3 linked regions of the Neurospora crassa OR74A genome follow. The protein of the gene in region 3 interacts with the protein of the main gene of each other region in a pairwise test. Links are inferred from orthologs where the notes say so. Each region holds a gene or a part of one and is shown on either strand. Other genes may lie near its edges.

Region 1 (3,622 bases), on a different chromosome or scaffold from region 3:
GCCAGCTTGGATTCATCCCAAGTTCGGACATGGGACGAAACCGACAGGTAGCACAGCCATGGCGGGCGACATGACGCAGGTCGCTGAGAGGAGTTGATCGGGCAAATAAAAGTCCAGTGCGGGAATGGTGCCCTGTGGAAGTTGGTTGTTCATGCTGATAACCGGAAGAATCCGAAAGCTTTGGCGGAATCGGGTACCCGTACCACACTCGGGCACCGAGAAAGGCTCCAACAGGTGGACGTCCGCTGCGAAGACGGGTTCTGAGACGCAAACAGCCGATCATGGAGTTTGAGATTGGTGGTGACTTGTGTAGAGTGTTCGTCAGGCCGGGGCTCGGTTGCGCAGGGAAAAGGCAAAAAAGGAACCTAGACAGGTCAGCCTCCACTCGTGCTCTCAGGTCTCATCGATGGCAATCAACCCACTCACTTACAAGAAGACTGTCCACGGACTAAGTAGGACTGTAAGGTGTCGGTGGTACAGAAGCAGGGCCCACTCGCGCTTAAAGTTGCAGGTCCCAGCAGATGTTGACCAACAGAAAGTGAATACTAACTGCCTCTAGTAGGTAGGTCACTGCACGGATATCGCCGGACGTACAGGGCACTCTATCACAGGCCAACCTGGGAGGCGGGGGACGGGAAACGGGAAGCAAGGGAAACAACACATCTGGTACTCGGATTTGCCGTAGACCTCACCAATGAGTGCGAGGTTGGGGGTGTCAAAGTAGCACATCCAAGACGGATATGGCATGGCTAATGACGGCATCAGATGGAATGAAGCGGGTGTCCTGGTACATGGTGTTTCGCGGCATCACAAGAGAGTCCGAGTGTGTGCGTGCTGGACGACGAGGGGAACAGAGGCCCTAAGAAGGAGGAGAATATGCTGACATTGAGATGGTGCTATCACTGGGTCATATAACAGGCGAGGAGGAAAATGGAAGTGGGTTATACGTGGATTCCAGATCTCGAGCAAAGGGAAGATGTTGATGTACATAAGTAGTAAATATTCATGTCTTGGTGAAGAAGTTAGTTGGTATTGAAGTTGTGCTTGATGGAAGGAAAGTTGAAGTTGGGAAACGGAATCGCTTGGGCTGTTGTTGCTGGTTGGTCGAGCATGTGTTAGTGAGTGCCGGTCCCGGCAGGCAGTTGCATCCACATCCAGTTCAAACCCACTTGACTCCGGCGGGCCCCACCGTTTGTCCCCTCCACTGTGGGGCAACCTTAAGTCCACTCCACTTCATAGGTCCCGTCCGTAGGTCTCTTCGTTGTGTTGCCTGCCCCGCCGACCTGTCTTGTCCATCCATGCCTGCAGCGCTGCTATCCGCTGCTAGGTATCAATCGGTGCGGTCCAGTGCCGTCCCGCGATCATCAGGGCCTCAGCTCCCGGCGTTGTTGACATCAGTTTCAATTCGGGCCATTTCGATATAACTTGTTCTACCGTGATCCACGTCTCTTCTTCCCATATCGACGCGTTCGTTGTCTGTCACCGACTGCCCAAGTACCGGTAGACCTGAAGAGTGTCTGTGGACTATGGAATCATAGCCTCTGTATCCCCGTCGCAGTCGCTACCTCTACCATGTCGGTTATCCTTTGCACAGGTATGGCTTGTCTTGTCCCGGTCTACCTTGCCGACGCAGTAATGCCCCATCCCCTTGATCCAGTTCCTCCCTTGTGCCGAATTGGAACAGCTGCTGACTCTTCGCTTTGCCCTTTACAGCTGGTTACGACCACACCATCAGGTTCTGGGAGGCGCTCTCCGGAATCTGCTCGCGCACCATCCAACACCCCGAGTCTCAAGTGAACCGTCTTTGCATATCCCCTGACAAGCGATACCTCGCCGCTGCCGGCCACCGCGATGTCAAACTCTTTGACATTCGTTCCACAAACCCGCAGGCCCTCATGACCTTCCAGGGCCACACCGGCAATGTGACCGGCGTGGCCTTCCACTGCGAGGGCAAGTGGATGGTAACAAGTTCGGAGGACGGAACGGTCAAGATTTGGGAAACCCGCACCGGAACCATCCAGCGAAGCTACAACCACGGCTCTCCGGCAAACGACGTTGTCATCCACCCTAATCAGGGAGAGATCATCAGCTGCGACCGCGCCGGAAGCATCCGACTGTGGGATCTGGCCGAGAACACTTGCTCGCACCAGCTAATCCCCGAGGAGGATGTTTCAGTGACAAGTGTCACGGTTGCCAGTGACGGTACACTTCTTTGTGCGGCCAACACTGCTGTAAGTTTTCTCTCCACCGAGTCATTCCTTGCTGTATCTTCCCGATATACTGACACCTCCTTTCTGTCTGCCAGGGCAATGTATTCGTTTGGCAACTCATCCAGGCCTATGACCGCACCCAGCTGATTCCCCTCACCCACTTTTCCGCACACAAGGAAAGCATCACGCGCATCCTACTCTCGCCCGATGTCAAGAAGCTCGCAACGTGTAGCGCCGACCATACGGCCAGGATCTGGGAAGTCAGGGAAATGGAACCTGCCACGGCCGATTCGGAACCGCAGGCGTTCCCCCTCGAGGCCACTCTCAAGGAGCACCAGCGTTGGGTATGGGACTGTGCCTTCAGCGCTGACAGTGCCTACTTGGTAACTGCCTGCAGTGATCATTATGCGCGGCTGTGGGAATTACACACGCAGCTTGTTATCAGACAGTACAACGGCCATCACCGCGGTATTGTATGCGTCGCTCTCAACGATTATTCCGAAGCTCGCTAGTGGGAACTTTTGGATGAAGATGAGGAGACGGCGACAATTTGCAACACGGCTGAAGTGTAGGGCGGCTGCGGAAAGATGTCAATTTTTACGTCTCTATGATGGGCTGTCGATGTAAGAGGAAACGAAGCTGCAAAGTGCAGTGTCATGGCAGGGGCATTTCATATGTGCTATTTTCCCCGGATATCCTTTTTGAGAGCGACTGGCGGGTTGTTTAGTAGAATCGGCTATGGCAATGGCGTTTTATGGTTATGCAAGTAATGTTTTTAGAGTGGAAAATCACACAACGACATGAATTCCCAAGTACGCCCGCCACGCCGTTTCATAACACTTGATACCTGGTAGCAAAAAGTATTGCTATATAACAGTAGACCACATTTCCGTCGGATATAAGAACAATTCAAGATGAAAGCTCGGCCGAAGTCCGTGACTGAGAGAATCGATTAGGAACATACGAGTCATGATTGGCTTGAATAGTCGAAAAGTGGATCAGCTGTGTGTTACGCCCCGGCTTGGCAGATTCAAAGTCAACACTGGTTCAAGGGTACTGCCGGCCTGGAGGGTTTTACTAGTGATCTGGAACTTTTGAGGACTTGCCTGGGCATCTCAGAATTCAGAATTGAAATCAAAGACAAAGCATTCACTTAAAATAGCTGGATGTTATTGGACAAAAAGACAGTTAGCGTACTTCCAGTGTATGTAGTGTACCGCAATCCCCGGATTTGCTGCTTGGGTGGCGGCGGCACTCACAAGTGGAATGGCTCCGTAATTCGGACCAAAGTGAAGATAGTGTAACCGGCAACTTTTCTCTCCTCTTTTCTTTCTCCAAACAACCAAGTTCCCCTTCTGTACAGTCTGTCACCATGAGGTCAATTGATCTCGCCAGTCGCTCAGGCGCTGCCC
Region 2 (3,769 bases), about 5.3 Mb from region 3:
GTCACATGAGTTTTGGGAGTTTGGGTTGCTTTGGCGCGCACATCATTTGATCTACTTCAACCAAACATGAGCAAGCTATGGCGCAGAGGGCAACAAGAACGGTGCAACTGTATTGTTACTTGCTAGATGGAGGCACTAAAATTTGACATGCACATGGCGTCCCTCTGCTTTCCGCAAAATTGCGTCTCCGATGCCATTACATGTGCTAATATAGTTCTCGTTGACAGGGCAAATGCTACGAATGCCGAGGCGGATGCGGCTGCCGTTGTAAGGAACTTCCTCGAGTCCCTGAAAGGCACCCAAGGGCGTGCCGGAGGCCAAGCCCAAGCCCAAGGCAAATCCTACCCTTTACTCAACGATCTTCTTGAATCCTCAGTTACGATTCCGATGCTTGATTCCGCCACCGACGAATATGTCGACAACCTTTTGAACTATCTACCCCCAACCGTCATTGTCATGTCTCAGCAAGGTGCCAGCGGTACTGATGCCATCGAGGTTGAGCCTAGTGCCGCGTCTGTTGAGGCCGCTCGGCAGGCTATGAGCCAGGATCAGAAGCGCGCGCTTCTGAAGAAGGTTCTCCGGAGCCCTCAGTTTACCCAGAGCCTTGCCAGTCTGACAATCGCTCTTCGGGATGGAGGACTCCCCAACATTTCTGCTGCGTTGGGAATCCAAGTGGAAAATGGTGGTATGGTCAGGGGCGGTATGGTGCCTCTAGGTGGCGGAGATGCTGTCGAGGCCTTTGTGGAAGGAGTGAAAAAGACAGTCCAGAAGAAGTAAAGGACTTCAGATCTTGATAGAGCCTTCGAGATGAGGACACGACATACAGGAGATTCGATTGATATTGAGGATCAATAGGCCCTGAAAAGCTGTAGGAAGGCTTGCGTCCGAAGCTTGATCAAAAATGGAGGTCTGTACCACCGATTTTGACCGCACTAACAAGCACTAGTAATGCCCAAACCTGGAGGGTTGAAAGTCAATCGGACGTAAAGAAAAAGTCTCCCGAAGTATTCACGCCGGTTTATCCTCCTATACTTCTTCCCGTGCTATTGCAAATAATAAGGGCGTGCTTGTTGACGTATAGTGGCCAAGTCATAGTGGCCCTAGCGACTGTCACGGAGTCCCAAAGCCGCGTGAAGTAACGTACCCACGACTACCATGTAAAAGGGCCCCACAGCAGGTTCCCCGTCACCAAGGGATGGAACCTCCAACGGGTGTTCGAAGACAGGGCTGCATTTTCCGCCTTCAACGTCATCTGGAATTACCCAATTCGCGCCTTCAACAACCGAACGCAGCCATTAGAGCTCTAAACAACACACAGGCTTCCATCTGGCGCATCCTCAAGCAAGCAAAATGGAACAACAAGAAGGACAACAAGCCGAGTACTGGACATTTCCGACCGACCCCGGAGAGTTTGACAAAGACGAGCGCATCTCCTTCTCTAAGCTCGACAACAAATACATCGCGGTCCAAGACGATGGCACCGAATACGAGTTCGACGAGGGTCTCAAGCGCTGGCTTCCCATCATCGACGAAGCCTTAATCGAAGAACACCAGAGGGCATACATAACATCACTCGGAGACGACGATACAGAGACAGGCCAATTGGGCAAAGGACAAGGCAAGAAGAGAAAGAACGACGACCGAGAGGTAAGCTGCGCTCGAATGCGCACCTGTCAACGTTCGCTACTGCCACCATCTTCAACACTCACTCATCCTTCTTTGAAAATATTGATCCAATCATTCCCTTTTCGTCCCATTTTGAAACTTTCGAAACAACCGTGAAAGGGAGAGAGCGAGAGAGAGGAAGGGACATCGCTGTCCCCTAGGAGTACATGAACATGAATGATTCATATGTGTGGTGTTCCTTGTGATGTGGGTGTGAGGACGGACAGGACGTGAGAAGAAAAAAAACAATCCCGGGGAAGACACTAACCAGACGTTTTCTTTCTTTCCCTCGTTGCGCGCACGCCTACAGGACTCCGCTAGCAGTAACCACAACATGAACGCCCGTCCATCGAAGAACCGGAAGCGTGAGAAAGCGCCACGGGAGCCCAAGCAGAACACAGCCGTCTACGTGACTGGTCTTCCGCTCGATGCGACGGCTGACGAGGTCGCCGAGCTCTTCTCGCGTAAATGCGGCGTCATTGCCGAGGAGATCGACAGCGGCCGCCCGCGCATCAAGATGTACACGGACGCCAACGGAAACTTCAAAGGGGACGCCTTGATCGTCTTCTTCAAGCCGCAGTCGGTCGAGATGGCCATTATGCTCCTGGATGACACCGACTTCCGCTTTGAGCCTGCTCCGGATGGCAGCAGAATGCGCGTCCAGGCGGCGGATATGAGCTACAAAAAGACCAAATACGACGCAGCAGCAGGCGCGGAGAACGGCGGTGGTGACAAGGCAGGCAATGGTGGCGCAGAGGGAGAAGGCTCGTCCTCTTCGACCCCCTACAACAACATCACCAACCCCAACCCCGTTTCCAGCGACGGTGGCGGTAACGGTCATAACCAACGCAGCCAACAAGACAAAGCCAAAATCATCAAAAAGACCCAAAAGCTCTCCGCCAAGCTCGCCGACTGGGACGACGACGAGCCCTCCCCTTCTGCCCGCCTTCTGGGGCCCGCGATCAAGGAAGCAAAGGGAGGCAAGTGGGACAAGGTCGTGATCCTGCGACACATGTTCACGCTGGAGGAGCTCAACGAGGACCCGGCTGCTCTGCTGGAGATCAAGGACGACATCCGGGAGGAATGTGCCAAGCTGGGGCCCGTGACTAACGTGGTGCTGTTTGATGAGGAAGAGGAAGGGATTGTGAGCGTCAAGTTCGCGACAGTGGAGGCGGCAGAGGCGTGCGTGCATTTGATGCATGGACGGGCATTTGATGGAAGGATTGTTGAGGCTTTCTTTGCTACTGGCAAGGAGCGGTTCAGGAAGAGCAAGAATAAGGATGCGGGTGAGGAGGACGGTGGTGATGATTGAATGAAATGATCAGCGCACGACTGGATTAGGGGATCTGAATTGGGTGTGACTAGAAACTTCTGGTTTATTGATGCTCTGTGCTACGAAAGGAAAGTCTTTTCTTCTTTTTTTCCTTCGCTTGCATCTGGATTCGTTCGCTCACTACGCGACATCATTACCGTTGATCACAGTTTCCAGTTGAGAGCTACACATGTGGCATTGTCGTGGGCAATATGAGAGACTGGTTTTCTAGTGCATATACAACATATGTAAACTAATTCGAGCTATCTTTATAACCAGCTTTGACATAACTGATATTCGCAGACTTATGTGATGACCTATGTTACATATTACACAGTTGCTTGTTTGTTCCCATGCCCATGTGCCCCCTGCATCAAAAGCATTACTCAACCAGCCATAGTCAGCGTATAACTCGTGAAGACACTCATCCGTTCGCTCGTCAATTTCAACCCTATCCTCAACAGCTCCATCGCCACATCCGGTTGCTCCTTTTGCAGCTTCTCCCATCCTTCCCGGTCCATCATCCACAGCACACAGTCGCGCTCGACCACACACGTCGCCGTTCTCGTCGTCTCCGAGAAGAACGGCAATTCTCCGCACGTCGTTCCGGCCACGATGCTTTCACAAAGCCGTCCCTGTGGCAGATCGTATTCGGCTCTGAGCATACCTTGCTCGAGCAGATAAAATCCTTCTGCCTGCTCCCCGCGCCGGAAGATGACAGTTCCCGCAGGATATTGGAGTCTTTTGAAGTAACCCACGGCACGAAACCAGAAATCCTCGTTTTTGTTGCTG
Region 3 (3,968 bases):
CACCCGGATTCCTCAACCTCAGCAACCACCTCTCCCCATAAACCTGCGCCACACACCCCGCCGTCTCAGCAATGTACTTGGCCCTATAACCAAAGCCCAGCTCCCTCAGATGGGCCTCGACCCCTTCCCCCGCCAACGCCTCCGGCCCGGGGAAATCATGAAACGCTTCTCCCTCCACGGTGGCCACATAAGGACCGTAGTGCGTACACAGCTTCAGCACCATCTGGCTGATGCGCGAAATGTTGTTGTTGCTGCTGCAGATGAAGGAGATCAGCGTCTCCCATGCGTCCTGGTTAAGGATGCGGATCCCCGTGAAAGCGGGCGCACGCCGGGCGAAGTTGGCATCTGAAAGAGACCATTGGGCGTAAAGGGTAGTGAGAGAGTGAGAGAGGGCAAAGTAGTTGTGGAGGAGGACGGACGTGTCGTCTTCGAAGTCCTGGGGGTGTTCATTTTTGGGAGTTGCTGTACTGGTAGGCCATGTCACTTTGTAGTGAAGATGGGTGGGATCTTGTTTTAGGGAGATGAGACGGCCTTTGAGGACGCAGTGCCTGGAAAACTGTTAGGACTTGATACTTTGAACAGAGAAGAAATAAAAAGAAAAAAAGTAAGATAGTGGTGTGCATTCGGACCATTGTTCATTTATCTTGCGCCATCTAAAGGACTGGCCGCATCGGAGTGTGGTTTCGATGCAGAGCTCTGTGAGACTGATAGGCAGTTTGCGCCATTCTGTCACTTTCTGGGATGCCATATCGTATTTATTAAAAACTCTTAGACTTTGCAGATAAGACAAAAAGGATATAAGGGTCTTCTATAGAGGCTTGATGTGAAATTCTTTGTCTCCATCCCTTATTATGCAGGTAGATTGATTATCACTTTTGTTTCTCATGGACCCAAAATCCCAACCCGGATTTGATGGGGGGCAATGCACTGGGGCTGCAAATGCCCTGCGGTGGTGGTTACCTATCTGCTGGAACTAAGGTACCTCTACAGGGGCAATTCCTCTTCAGTTGTTGCCACGCCATTGCAGGGCGTCAAACTTCCCGGTGTGGATGGGTCAGTGGAACCGAATCGCACGGAAACATAGCGCGCTAAGCCGAAAGAGGATCAAGCGCCCTCTGCAGTAACAACGGCTACTGGAAAAGTTGCAGCCTCGCGATCGACGAGACTCGCAATTGGAAGCTAGGTCAAGCAAAGCCACTTTCCTTTTCATCAAACACCCTCAGAACATTTTCCTGCTTCTTTGGTGCAACCATCTCGTATCACCTCTTTTATACTTAACGAGATTTGTGTTGACCATGAACGGGGACACCTATTCCTCCAGAGGTATGTTGGCACTGACCGTGGCTATCCGCTAGAACTCAACTTAACCGTGGCGAAACAGACAGCGGCCGACACGGTTCGTCTCGCGACTATCCGGTAAGTGTGCCTCGTATACAAACCTAACAGCGGTCTTTTCTGTGGGCCTAAGCTAACCTATTATCAGTCCTCGAGACGCGACCGCGATGACAGACGTGACCGTGGAGATCGCAGTGACCGAGGCAGTGGACGCAGACGCTCTCGCTCTCCCGCCGACTACCGGAGCAGCCGACCCCGTCGCGAAGACGGCGATTTTGACGCTTATTCATCGAGCCGCAGCCACCGCGACCGCGAGCGAGAAGATCGATACTCTGGCCGCGACCGTCGTGGACCCGATCGTGGTGATAGGGAGTGGGATCGTGACAGGGGCGCCGACCGTGGAGCCGACCGTGGAGCCGACCGTGGTGCGGATCGTGGCGCTGACCGCGGGGCCGAGCGTGGAGGTCGCAGCCGGAGGGACGATGACGAAGGCGGCCGTCGCCGGGACAGAGATCGTGACGTGATGGGAGATGATCGCCGCGGTGGAGGCAGAAGGGACCGAGAGGCGGACAGGGAGCGCAGGAGGAGTGTCTCGCCGCCCCCCAAAAAGAGGGAACCGACACCCGACTTGACCGATGTCGTTCCTGTTATAGAGCGCAAGAGGCGCATGACACAGTGGGATATCAAGCCTCCCGGATATGGCAACGTCACCGCGGAGCAGGCCAAGCTCTCGGGTATGTTCCCATTACCTGGCGCCCCGCGACAACAGGCCATGGACCCGACCAAGCTTCAGGCTTTCATGACCCAGCCAGGTGGAGCTGTCAACAGTGCTGCCCTTAAGCCTACGAACTCCCGCCAGAGCAAACGACTTATTGTCTCGAATATCCCACCGTCAGCCACCGACGAGAGCCTGTTGGGCTTTTTCAACCTTCAGCTCAATGGCCTAAATGTAATCGACAGCGCCGATCCTTGCGTCCAGTGCCAAATATCTCCCGATCACAGCTTCGCCATGCTTGAGTTTAGGAACAGCCCGGATGCTACAGTCGCTCTGGCCCTTGACGGTATCACCATGGAGGCCGAGGATGCCAATGGTGCTGCTGGTGCCGGTGGGCTCAAGATCCGTAGGCCGAAGGACTACATCGTACCCGCAATTGTCGAGGACCCCAACTACGACCCTGATTCAGAGGTGCCTTCCAGCATTGTCATCGACAGCCCTAACAAGATCAGCGTCACCAACATCCCTGCATATTTGAGCGAAGAGCAAATCATGGAGCTCCTGGTTGCCTTTGGCAAGCTCAAGTCCTTTGTGTTGGTTAAGGATAAGCATACGGAGGAGTCAAGGGTGAGCCTAATGGTCCTTTCTACCAACGAGCGCACATGCTAACATGTCCTAGGGTATCGCATTCTGCGAGTATCACGATTCTTCGGTCACATCTGTTGCTATTGACGGCCTCAACAACATGATGCTGGGCGATAGGGCGCTGAAGGTTCAAAAGGCCAGCTATGGCATTCAACAGGTAGCTGGAGAACTGAGTGTGAACGCCATGTCCATGCTTGCTGGTACCACTTCCTTGGATGGCGACGTCAGCAGGGTCGTGCAGCTCCTGAACATGGTTACAGCGGATGAGCTGATGGACAACGACGATTACGAAGGTTTGTTCAGCGTTTCTGTCACTACACATGTTCAAGATGCTAACGTGTGCTTTCAAGAAATTCGCGACGACGTCCAGGAAGAATGCGAGAAGTTCGGAACTATTGTTTCCCTAAAGATTCCCAGACCCACTGGCGGAAGCAGGCAGTCTGCTGGTGTTGGCAAGATTTTCATCAAATACGAGAATTCCGACCAAGCAACAAAGGCCCTCAAAGCTTTGGCGGGCAGGAAGTTTGCTGACCGCACGGTGGTTGCGACATACTTCCCTGAGGTTAGTTTCATCAGCTTTGCTCTGATTTGCTTCGCTCGTTTATACTGATAAATCCTACAGGAGAACTTTGATGTCAACGCCTGGTAAAAGACGATAGGCAGTAGGAGAAGGGATATGTTTGACTGTACTGAAAGGAAGAACAGTAGTCGTGCATGGTATAGCGTGATCTGTTGATTGACAACGAGGAAACAATCAGAACGTCATTAGTATCAAGGTTCGGTCATTTCCTCGAAGTTATCGTTGGGATCTCAGCGGCGTGTACAGAAGTTAATGGGATTTCAGCCGCGGTACAGTCAGGGCGCTCAAAAACAGAGGATACAACATCAATACACTCAGAAGTGTATTTTGATTACATGCCGAAGGTTTACAAATACATCATCGATCGGCACAAGGGAAGTTGCATTGGGATCACTTGTTTATCATTATCTTAGTCTAAATGTCCGGGGTCGCCAACCAACGCCCGCGACAATGAACTCAGTTTGCATGCCATGGCGACCGCACAGTCTCGAGCTTAAAAATTGGTACCTAGGTCTGAAGGAACGTTAGCCTGAGCACGACTCGAATTATGCAATAACAAGACGAGTGCGAAAGCTAAAGTTTCAGAAGTCCGTTTAATTCATCAAGTCCCAAAAAGGAACTTTAACATAAGAGGTACCAGAATAAAGTATAAAGTGTGTATCATCAGGATAAGGAGGCTCGGAAAAAAGGTAG

What was found. The genes of interacting proteins can lie anywhere in the genome.
Region 1: the proteins of NCU03039 (region 3) and NCU04281 interact in binary tests that used the Schizosaccharomyces pombe proteins (3 or more experiments, as listed by UniProt). The link is inferred for Neurospora crassa OR74A from reciprocal best matches to the Schizosaccharomyces pombe genes prp2 and wat1.
Region 2: the proteins of NCU03039 (region 3) and NCU02633 interact in a two-hybrid assay, tested with the Schizosaccharomyces pombe proteins (3 studies listed by BioGRID). The link is inferred for Neurospora crassa OR74A from reciprocal best matches to the Schizosaccharomyces pombe genes prp2 and uap2.

Annotation. Positions count from the first base shown.
Region 1 is NC_026505.1:5,484,169-5,487,790, reverse strand, and holds NCU04281 (WD-repeat protein pop3), read left to right. Parts: upstream 1-1,267; 5' UTR 1,268-1,572; coding exon 1,573-1,594; intron 1,595-1,713; coding exon 1,714-2,231; intron 2,232-2,305; coding exon 2,306-2,722; 3' UTR 2,723-3,122; downstream 3,123-3,622. Other genes in the region: NCU04280 (aconitate hydratase), read left to right, coding at 3,583-3,622. UniProt on the Schizosaccharomyces pombe protein: component of both TORC1 and TORC2, which regulate multiple cellular processes to control cell growth in response to environmental signals. Nutrient limitation and environmental stress signals cause inactivation of TORC1.
Region 2 is NC_026501.1:3,000,244-3,004,012, reverse strand, and holds NCU02633 (nuclear mRNA splicing factor-associated protein), read left to right. Parts: upstream 1-1,255; 5' UTR 1,256-1,350; coding exon 1,351-1,647; intron 1,648-1,975; coding exon 1,976-2,977; 3' UTR 2,978-3,269; downstream 3,270-3,769. Other genes in the region: NCU02634 (hypothetical protein), read left to right, coding at 228-777; NCU02632 (sulfate transporter), read right to left, coding at 3,364-3,769. UniProt on the Schizosaccharomyces pombe protein: Has a role in pre-mRNA splicing.
Region 3 is NC_026501.1:8,349,439-8,353,406, forward strand, and holds the start of NCU03039 (splicing factor u2af large subunit), read left to right. Parts: upstream 1-1,158; 5' UTR 1,159-1,295; coding exon 1,296-1,323; intron 1,324-1,381; coding exon 1,382-1,416; intron 1,417-1,483; coding exon 1,484-2,677; intron 2,678-2,729; coding exon 2,730-2,988; intron 2,989-3,045; coding exon 3,046-3,257; intron 3,258-3,317; coding exon 3,318-3,344; 3' UTR 3,345-3,968. Other genes in the region: NCU03040 (N-glycosylase/DNA lyase), read right to left, coding at 1-548, 630-748. UniProt on the Schizosaccharomyces pombe protein: Necessary for the splicing of pre-mRNA. The SF1-U2AF59-U2AF23 complex has a role in the recognition of the branch site (5'-UACUAAC-3'), the pyrimidine tract and the 3'-splice site at the 3'-end of introns.